2 linked regions of the Zea mays genome follow. The protein of the gene in region 1 interacts with the protein of each later gene in a pairwise test. Links are inferred from orthologs where the notes say so. Each region holds a gene or a part of one and is shown on either strand. Other genes may lie near its edges.

Region 1 (3,482 bases):
TTTTTTTCTTCAAAAGTATAGAAAACCAGCAGTATAAAACGAGAAAGGGATTCGCTAACTGATTTCTCTCTCTCCATTTTCTGACGACAAACAACATCCATCTAATTTAAATCCAACAACCAGCATTCATTCTGCTGCACTTATTCTCAGTACTCGGAATGGACATGTTCTCTCTTGTTGCTAATTTAGGTTCGCTTCCAGGCAGATATAAATATATGAATGAATGAGCAAACATACGTCATCTGTGTTTGTTTGCCACAACTCAGGAGGGAAAAACGAAGCAAAACAATAATACTGAATGTGTAGCGGAGACGCTTTTGCTTGGGCCAAAGTAAGAATTTTTATAAATACATACATATATGTGTCCCTCCTCCATCTGAGAGGCGATAGTTATTGTTACAAAATCGATGTTACCATCAATCGAAAAACCATAAAAGAATCCCCCTGTATAACTACTCTGTGATTTAATCTGTCCAATGACGTAATTTACCCTCCAAAAAATTTACTTCGTATGCTGCTGCTGCTGCTAGTGCTGCTGCGTCGACGCTGTCGTTTCCTTGTTCCACGTGTCTACGAAGCGGCTCATCCTAGCGAGTGCAACATCCAGCGTGTCCAGGCTCATGTTGGCGAAGCACACCCTGAACCAGCCAGGCTCCGAGCAATGGCACGACGAGCCCGGCGAGATGTTGAGCTTCGCCTCCCGCAGCATCCGGTCCCACAGGCGGAGCTCGCCGGCGACGGTGGTGGCCTCGCCGAGCAGCCGCCTCATGTCCATCCACACGAACAGCCCGGCGTTGCCGCGGAGGCACGGCACGCCCGCGCGGGCCAGCCCGGCGACGACGTGGTCGTGCCGCGCCCGGAGGCGCTGGCGGTTGGTGCGGACGTAGGCGTCCGCGAACCCGGCGTCCGAGAGCATGGCGGCGAGCGTCTTCTGCGTCTGCGACGACACGAGCGTGAAGCTGGACATGCGGCGCGCCGCGGTGACCACGGCGTCGTTGTACGAGTACACGACGCCGACGCGGAACCCCGGGAGGCCCAGGTCCTTGGACAGGCTGTACACGATGTGGACGCGCTCCGCGACGCCGGGGTCGCCGCGGGACTCGACCAGCTCCGCCACGCTGACCAGGTCCGGCGCCGCGAAGACCGAGCCGGAGTATATCTCGTCGGAGATGAGGTGGATGTTGTTGCGGGCCACGAAGTCGAGCACGTCCTCGAGGGCCGGCCGCGTCACGGTGGTGCCCAGCGGGTTGGACGGGTTGGTGAGCAGGACGGCGCGGACGCGCGTCCCCGCTGCCTCGGCCTCCTCGTACGCCGCCTGGAGCGCGGCGGCCGTGACCTGGAACCCGTTGGCGCTGTCGCAGTGCACCGGCACGATGTTCACCCCCGTCCTCCACCGCAGGTCTCTGTCGAAACTGCAAGCAGAGCATGTCAGTTTGTCTGTCTGTCTGTGTAGAGCACTGTTGCGGTGTAACAGTAGCATAGCGCCGGGGGTCCGTGCATGCATGCAGCATGCTGGATGCTTCTTAGCGCTCCGCTTACCCAGGATAGTAAGGAGTAGGGATCAGCAGCGCGTCTCCCGGGTTGGCCAGGACGAACGTGAGCAGCTCGTTAGCTGCCGTGGCGCCGGCGGTGAGCACGATGCGGTCGGGGTCAAACCGGGCCTTGCCGCCCCTAACCTTCTCCATGAAGTTGGCCATCGCCTGCAAGCAAAATGACGCCGTCAGTACGTTGCACTTGTCCAGGCAGGGTCTATCCAGGACACCGAACAAGACGAGCAGAGCAGGCGCTCGGGGTCACCACGCACCTTTCTGAAGGCCTTGAGGCCGTGGTAGTCCTGGAACAGCGCGTTGTCCCTGAAGCTGGCGACGCCGGAGCCGGAGCCGCCCCAGCCCGCGGCCTCCGGGTGGTCCCTGAGGTACCCCTCGAGGAGGTCGAAGGACACCTGGTTCTCGGCGAGGCCCATCTGAATGACGCCGCCGGGGTTGGAGACGGCGTCGTAGGGGTTCTCGTCGTAGGCTTTCCACCCGGCGAAGTAGGGCGAGTCCTCGCCGTGGAGGCCGGAAGTGGCCACCTTTGACAGGGGAGGCGACGCCACCGCGTGCGCGTGGCGGCTCTGGCTCGCGCCCAGCAACAGCTTGCCACCCATCGCCTCTGCCGCCCTTGGCTCACGCACAAGCGCGCGGTGCAGACGACGATGCCTGCAAGATGGATGGATACGCACACGCAGTGCAGTGACCGCCGCCGCCGCTCGAGGTCGAGGGATGAGCAAGCAAAGGACAGAGAGGAGCACAAGAGGCTGCTGCTGTGTGATGCGGTGGTCGATCTGGCCAAGTGTGTGGGGGGTGGCATATATAGGCGAGTCAAGTATATATACCCGTGTGAAACCACCCAAGATGTCAAAAGGCGGAGAATTGAAGGCAGGGTCCAGAGCAGACGGAAACGACCAGACTGTCCGCTGCAAATCAAACGATATAATAATAGTAACAATAAAGGGAAAGCCGGGAGCTTTAGTCTACTATAAGCGCGAGTGCGCTCAACCTACGCAAAGCCTTAATTTGCTGATTCGTCGTTCCCAGCCGGAGCCAATGATTGAGGCTGAGCAATGGGCGGGGCAGAAAGGAGGGAGGCGCTGACGACGATCATGCCGCGGATACGGAATATGCACGGCGGAGTCCAGCTGTTTCCCCGCGGCAGCGAGAGCAGCCCCCGCTCTGTCGCCTTTCGCCGGCTGGGGGGAGTAGGCAGGCAAATGGCATGGAGGGCGCCTCCTGCGATCGTGCGGACAGATGGGCGCCTCGCCTCATTATCCCCGTAGCCAGTAGCCACCCGCTCTGTTGATCTGTTTGTTTATTAGTCCCCCCCCCCGCGACGCGATTGGAGGGAGCTCATGGCCGACGACGACGATGGCGTTGCTGGTGGTTCGGCGCCAGCGAGATCCCCCAGGGGAATATTTGCCGGCTTCGTTCGTTCGTTTCACGGCACGGCACGGCACGGCATGTCAGCCTGCCAAGGGACGAGCCAGCTGAACAGGCTCGCATCGCATCGCATCTCTTCCGGGGAATTGATCGTCGACTGAAAGCTAGCTAAACATCTCGCGCTGGCTTGTCTCCGTTGCCATATGCATGCTGAGCCTTCTTGCAACTCCTGTTCGATCTGCTGCCTGGACCATGGGGATATGGAGATGGATTAGAGTAATGCATGCGTGGAGTGGTTGGTGTGACAGAGATGATCGTGGACTTGCCCCAGCGTTTAATTAGGGTTGATCACGACAATTAAGCAGCAGCAGCAGCTAGTAGTCTACATACGTGTTTGTTTGACCTCGAGAGGCCAGCGACTGAACAAGAGCGACGAATGATATGATATGAGCCCTCTAACTACGGACGGCTTGTCTATCTCTCTCTCTCCCTCCATAGAAATAAAGATATACATGGCGCTTCCTTTTCGAGACGCCGTCGTCGGGGGGCATTAAGATATGCCGTGCC
Region 2 (4,150 bases), on another chromosome or scaffold:
AGCCACGTAGGTGTGTCTAGTGTCGTCATATGCCATGTCATGTGACCACTCCGAGCCCACATGCTCCATGCGCTATATACCCGAACCCCTAACCCACACACGCCCGTGAAACCGCGAGGGCCGGCTCTGATACCACTTGTAACACCCTGTCTAATCTCTGGACCAGCGGTACTTACTCCTAACAGCTCTCTATGATCATATATCGTCCCCAGAGATCAACACGAGTCTTTTGTGCGCACTTTAATTTGTCCTCACTCATGCGCATCCAAGAAAACTTCCCGATCGGTCAGCCATCCCAAATTGCTTCAAGTCAAGCACGCCTAACTTGGAGGTTCTTTCGAGATAGGCTTCCGAAAAAGAAGATGCACCTTGTTTGTATGAGTACTCTATTAATTCTATTAAGCCTTGGTCTAGGATATTACCATCCCAGGGGCCAGGATATCACAGTAGCGTGACAACAGTCGGCATATGCTACATAGTTGGTGGTGGTGTTGTGTCTCCTCGATGGGTCTAGGGTTGGGAAGGCACTCGCATTCTCTCGCCCTTCTCAGACTAATGCCGGGTGTGGGTGCCTCTTGGTTTGGAGTTGCTCCGGCTGGGCTTCTCTCTTCGTTTGCGTGCTCTCTCCCTATATGTATCTAGCGGTATACTACATATCTCGTCTCCAGATGCTTAGATCTTCATCGTGTCTTTCTTCGGCAACGAACATGCCTTCTCTTCGTGCTCTACAAAACCTTGAAAGTGGGGGAGACGAGGGATGGGATCCCTGATTTACTGCCTATAGTATCGGTTCGAGAAGTCAAACCAACTCTTAATTTAAAAATAAGCTGTATATTTATAGATCTTCACAGTACATCAGCATTCTCAACGTAAAATACAAACACCGGAAACAATATCTACACTACGTACATCGTTAGACTACAGATGTATATGAGATTATATTTTAAAATTATTCTGTTCTAATTTAAATGGCAGAAGCATGGGGGAAGCTTCACCTCCCATCACATCCTCAGATTGTGACCGCTCAAGCCTCTCCGCCTCACGTTCCCCGCCCACACCTCGTTCACGCAGCAAACACCATTTCCACCCAACCAGAACTCCTCACGTGTTCCACCGTCCATCCGCCTCCCAGCCATAACGCCGACCACACATACTCCCTCCCGCACCGAACTCCCCGGCGCGCGCCACGTTCCTTTGGTCGCCACGTCATCCCACTGACATGCGGGCCCCGCACCCGCTGCCCAGGGTTCGCGTCCTCCTCAAATGCCCCCACCCGGCCACCCATCGCCTCCCCCACCTCCGCACAAACTCGTCGCTTCCGCTCCACAGGATCCTCTGCGCCACCCACAACCGTGCGACCGTCCGTGCTGCCGGCGACCCCGATCCGCCGACCCGTCCCGTCCCACCACACCCTACCGCCGCTCGCAGCTATGTCGCCGTCGGAGCCGACGCGGGAGGAGAGCGTGTACATGGCCAAGCTGGCAGAGCAGGCGGAGCGGTACGAGGAGATGGTCGAGTTCATGGAGCGCGTCGCGCGCTCCGCCGGCGGCGCCGGCGGAGGGGAGGAGCTATCCGTGGAGGAGCGCAACCTGCTGTCCGTCGCCTACAAGAACGTCATCGGCGCCCGCAGGGCCTCGTGGCGGATCATCTCCTCCATCGAGCAGAAGGAGGAGGGCCGCGGGAACGAGGCGCACGCCGCCTCCATCCGCGCCTACCGCTCCAAGATCGAGACCGAGCTCGCCCGCATCTGCGATGGCATCCTCGCCCTGCTCGACTCCCACCTCGTCCCATCCGCCGGCGGCGCCGAGTCCAAGGTCTTCTACCTCAAGATGAAGGGTGACTACCACAGGTATACCATTATCGCTAGCAGATCTCGCTTTTTATTCTGCGTATCCGCATGTAGAGTCTAGACTATGCGATCTATTTATGGAGTGGCGAAGGAGGGAGGAGTCCATACCATGGGAATTGTGTTTTGGAGAAGTTAACTTGAGATCTGTGCGTAGATGTTTTGTATGGTAGCAGGGGCATGAGGCTCCCTGTAAAAACCTCCTCCAACCGTGTATACAGTGTGCGTAGTACTCAAAAGGTTTTCTATAAAAGGTCCCTGTATGTATAGGGAGAAGAATCTTCTCTATATAGGGGGAGTGATATGCTCTCCCGTGATATTATAATAATGTGTATTATGGTATTATAAATATTGTTTGCTTCTAATTCAAAGAAAAAAGATAAATAAATGTTAATCTGTAGTGTATAGAGGAAGCTGGATTGTAGTGTATAGGTGGAATGGTTGGAGACAAAACATAGTGGGAGAATAAGGGAGTTTAGTGTAGTAAAATATATTAAAAAATACAGATAAGGGGAGATGTATAGGGGAAATGGTTGGAGATGGCATGAGTTCTTATTATCAATTGTGTCTAAATTTAATGTGTGGTCTTTTTGTTTGAATTTTTTGTTATTTGTGGCCGAAAGTTCAAAAGATAAAAAGGGGAAAGGGGTTGTGTAGGCTGTGACGTTTTTTAGTGAGGTTGTTGTCCTTTTATTTATGTTGCACGTTGAAGTTGTTTATCTATGAATTTGCCTGTATGATGCACGATGCTGTGCTGTCTCCTGTAATGCATGGTTGAAAGATGTGAAATTGTTTCATGGTTTTTTTACCCCCTACCCTACAGCACGTATATCTTGTTATCTGATTTCTCCACATGATGATTTGGCAGGTACCTTGCTGAGTTCAAGTCTGGTGCAGAGAGGAAGGATGCTGCGGAGAGCACCATGAATGCCTACAAAGCTGCTCAGGTTGGACCATGGTGTACATGTTGATAGGATGAAGGTGTACATATCTTATTAATTGTGATTCATAGTTTCTGGGTTTTTTTGGGGGGTTTGTAGGACATTGCTCTTGCAGATCTGGCTCCAACCCACCCCATCAGGCTTGGCCTCGCTCTCAACTTCTCAGTGTTCTACTACGAGATCCTGAACTCCCCTGATCGCGCCTGCAACCTTGCAAAACAGGTTTGCTTCTTCTCCTTCTATCCCCCCTTTGTGACTTGCTTTCATTTTGAGACCCTTTGTGATTTGTTTTAATTTTGAGACATGATGTCTCCTAGATTGTGTGTAGCTTCTGGGCAACGGATTGAGTGTGCATAAACAGCTCCTGTCTCCATCAGCTTATGTAGGGGTTTGGTTGATTCAATTAAAAAAAGATGGTGCAAAGGAAATAGTTCACTTGCCTCCGTCTGCATGCCTATTCACTGAAACAATTTTTTCTTACATTAGGCACTGTGTAAGTGATGGATCTAATTACTCTGGGTGCTAACAAAATGCTTCTTTTGCTACCACCCACGGAGGCTGTTGTTTATTTTCACTCAATCTGTCACGTCTTCTTGCATACATGTTCTACTACATATTGAACATTGACAAGCTACAACCTAATGATTACAAGTCACCTAGAGAATTCTCAATTTCCCTTGTATGATGGTTGCACTGTCTAACTTGTCTGCAATCCATGAAGTTGGACATGACGGTCTTCATACAGTACTTGAGATGACAGATGCATTCCCTATGCAACGAAGTACTCTTGACGTTCCCCATCAATTTAAGCATCTTGGGCTTTATATTGGATGCAGTTGGCTTGAAGTAAATTTAATCTTTGTTGCAGGCCTTCGATGAGGCGATCTCTGAGCTAGACAGCCTGGGAGAGGAGTCCTACAAGGACAGCACTCTGATCATGCAGCTCCTGCGCGACAACTTGACCCTATGGACTTCCGACACCAACGTGAGTTCCTTCTCGGCCCCCTCTGCGTATCACTTGCCATGGCTCTCATCTGACGACCATTGTTCTGCGTTTTCCTCGCCAGGAGGATGGCGGCGACGAGATCAAGGATGCTGCTGCCCCGAAAGAATCCGCGGAGGGTCAGTAAGATGGATTCAGTCTCACGACCTGCTGCTGCTGATGTTGAGGAGTGACCAGAACCAGAACCGCCGTCCTCGATTCTGATAGATTATCTTCTAGTATACCTTGTGTTGTTGCTGTTGTTGTCGTCGTCGCGCCGGTGTATGCGATGAAGCTGCCATTGCTGCTGTTTTAATTAAGCATTCTAGATGTTATACCGCATGCTTTGTTTCGGTTTCTATGTCGATAAATGGTGGCCGG

Evidence for each region.
Region 2: the proteins of 1-aminocyclopropane-1-carboxylate synthase 7-like (region 1) and 14-3-3-like protein interact in a protein complementation assay, tested with the Arabidopsis thaliana proteins (2 studies listed by BioGRID). The link is inferred for Zea mays from reciprocal best matches to the Arabidopsis thaliana genes ACS7 and GRF2.

Annotation. Positions count from the first base shown.
Region 1 is NC_050098.1:6,385,299-6,388,780, reverse strand, and holds 1-aminocyclopropane-1-carboxylate synthase 7-like, read right to left. Parts: upstream 2,306-3,482; 5' UTR 2,147-2,305; coding exon 1,805-2,146; intron 1,701-1,804; coding exon 1,540-1,700; intron 1,413-1,539; coding exon 527-1,412; 3' UTR 501-526; downstream 1-500. UniProt on the Arabidopsis thaliana protein: 1-aminocyclopropane-1-carboxylate synthase (ACS) enzymes catalyze the conversion of S-adenosyl-L-methionine (SAM) into 1-aminocyclopropane-1-carboxylate (ACC), a direct precursor of ethylene.
Region 2 is NC_050097.1:231,390,720-231,394,869, reverse strand, and holds the start of 14-3-3-like protein, read left to right. Parts: upstream 1-1,345; 5' UTR 1,346-1,430; coding exon 1,431-1,849; intron 1,850-1,957; exon of another isoform or gene 1,958-2,106; intron 2,107-2,714; coding exon 2,715-2,793; intron 2,794-2,886; coding exon 2,887-3,009; intron 3,010-3,508; coding exon of another isoform or gene 3,509-3,544; exon of another isoform or gene 3,545-3,638; intron 3,639-3,655; coding exon 3,656-3,772; intron 3,773-3,854; coding exon 3,855-3,917; 3' UTR 3,918-4,150. UniProt on the Arabidopsis thaliana protein: Is associated with a DNA binding complex that binds to the G box, a well-characterized cis-acting DNA regulatory element found in plant genes.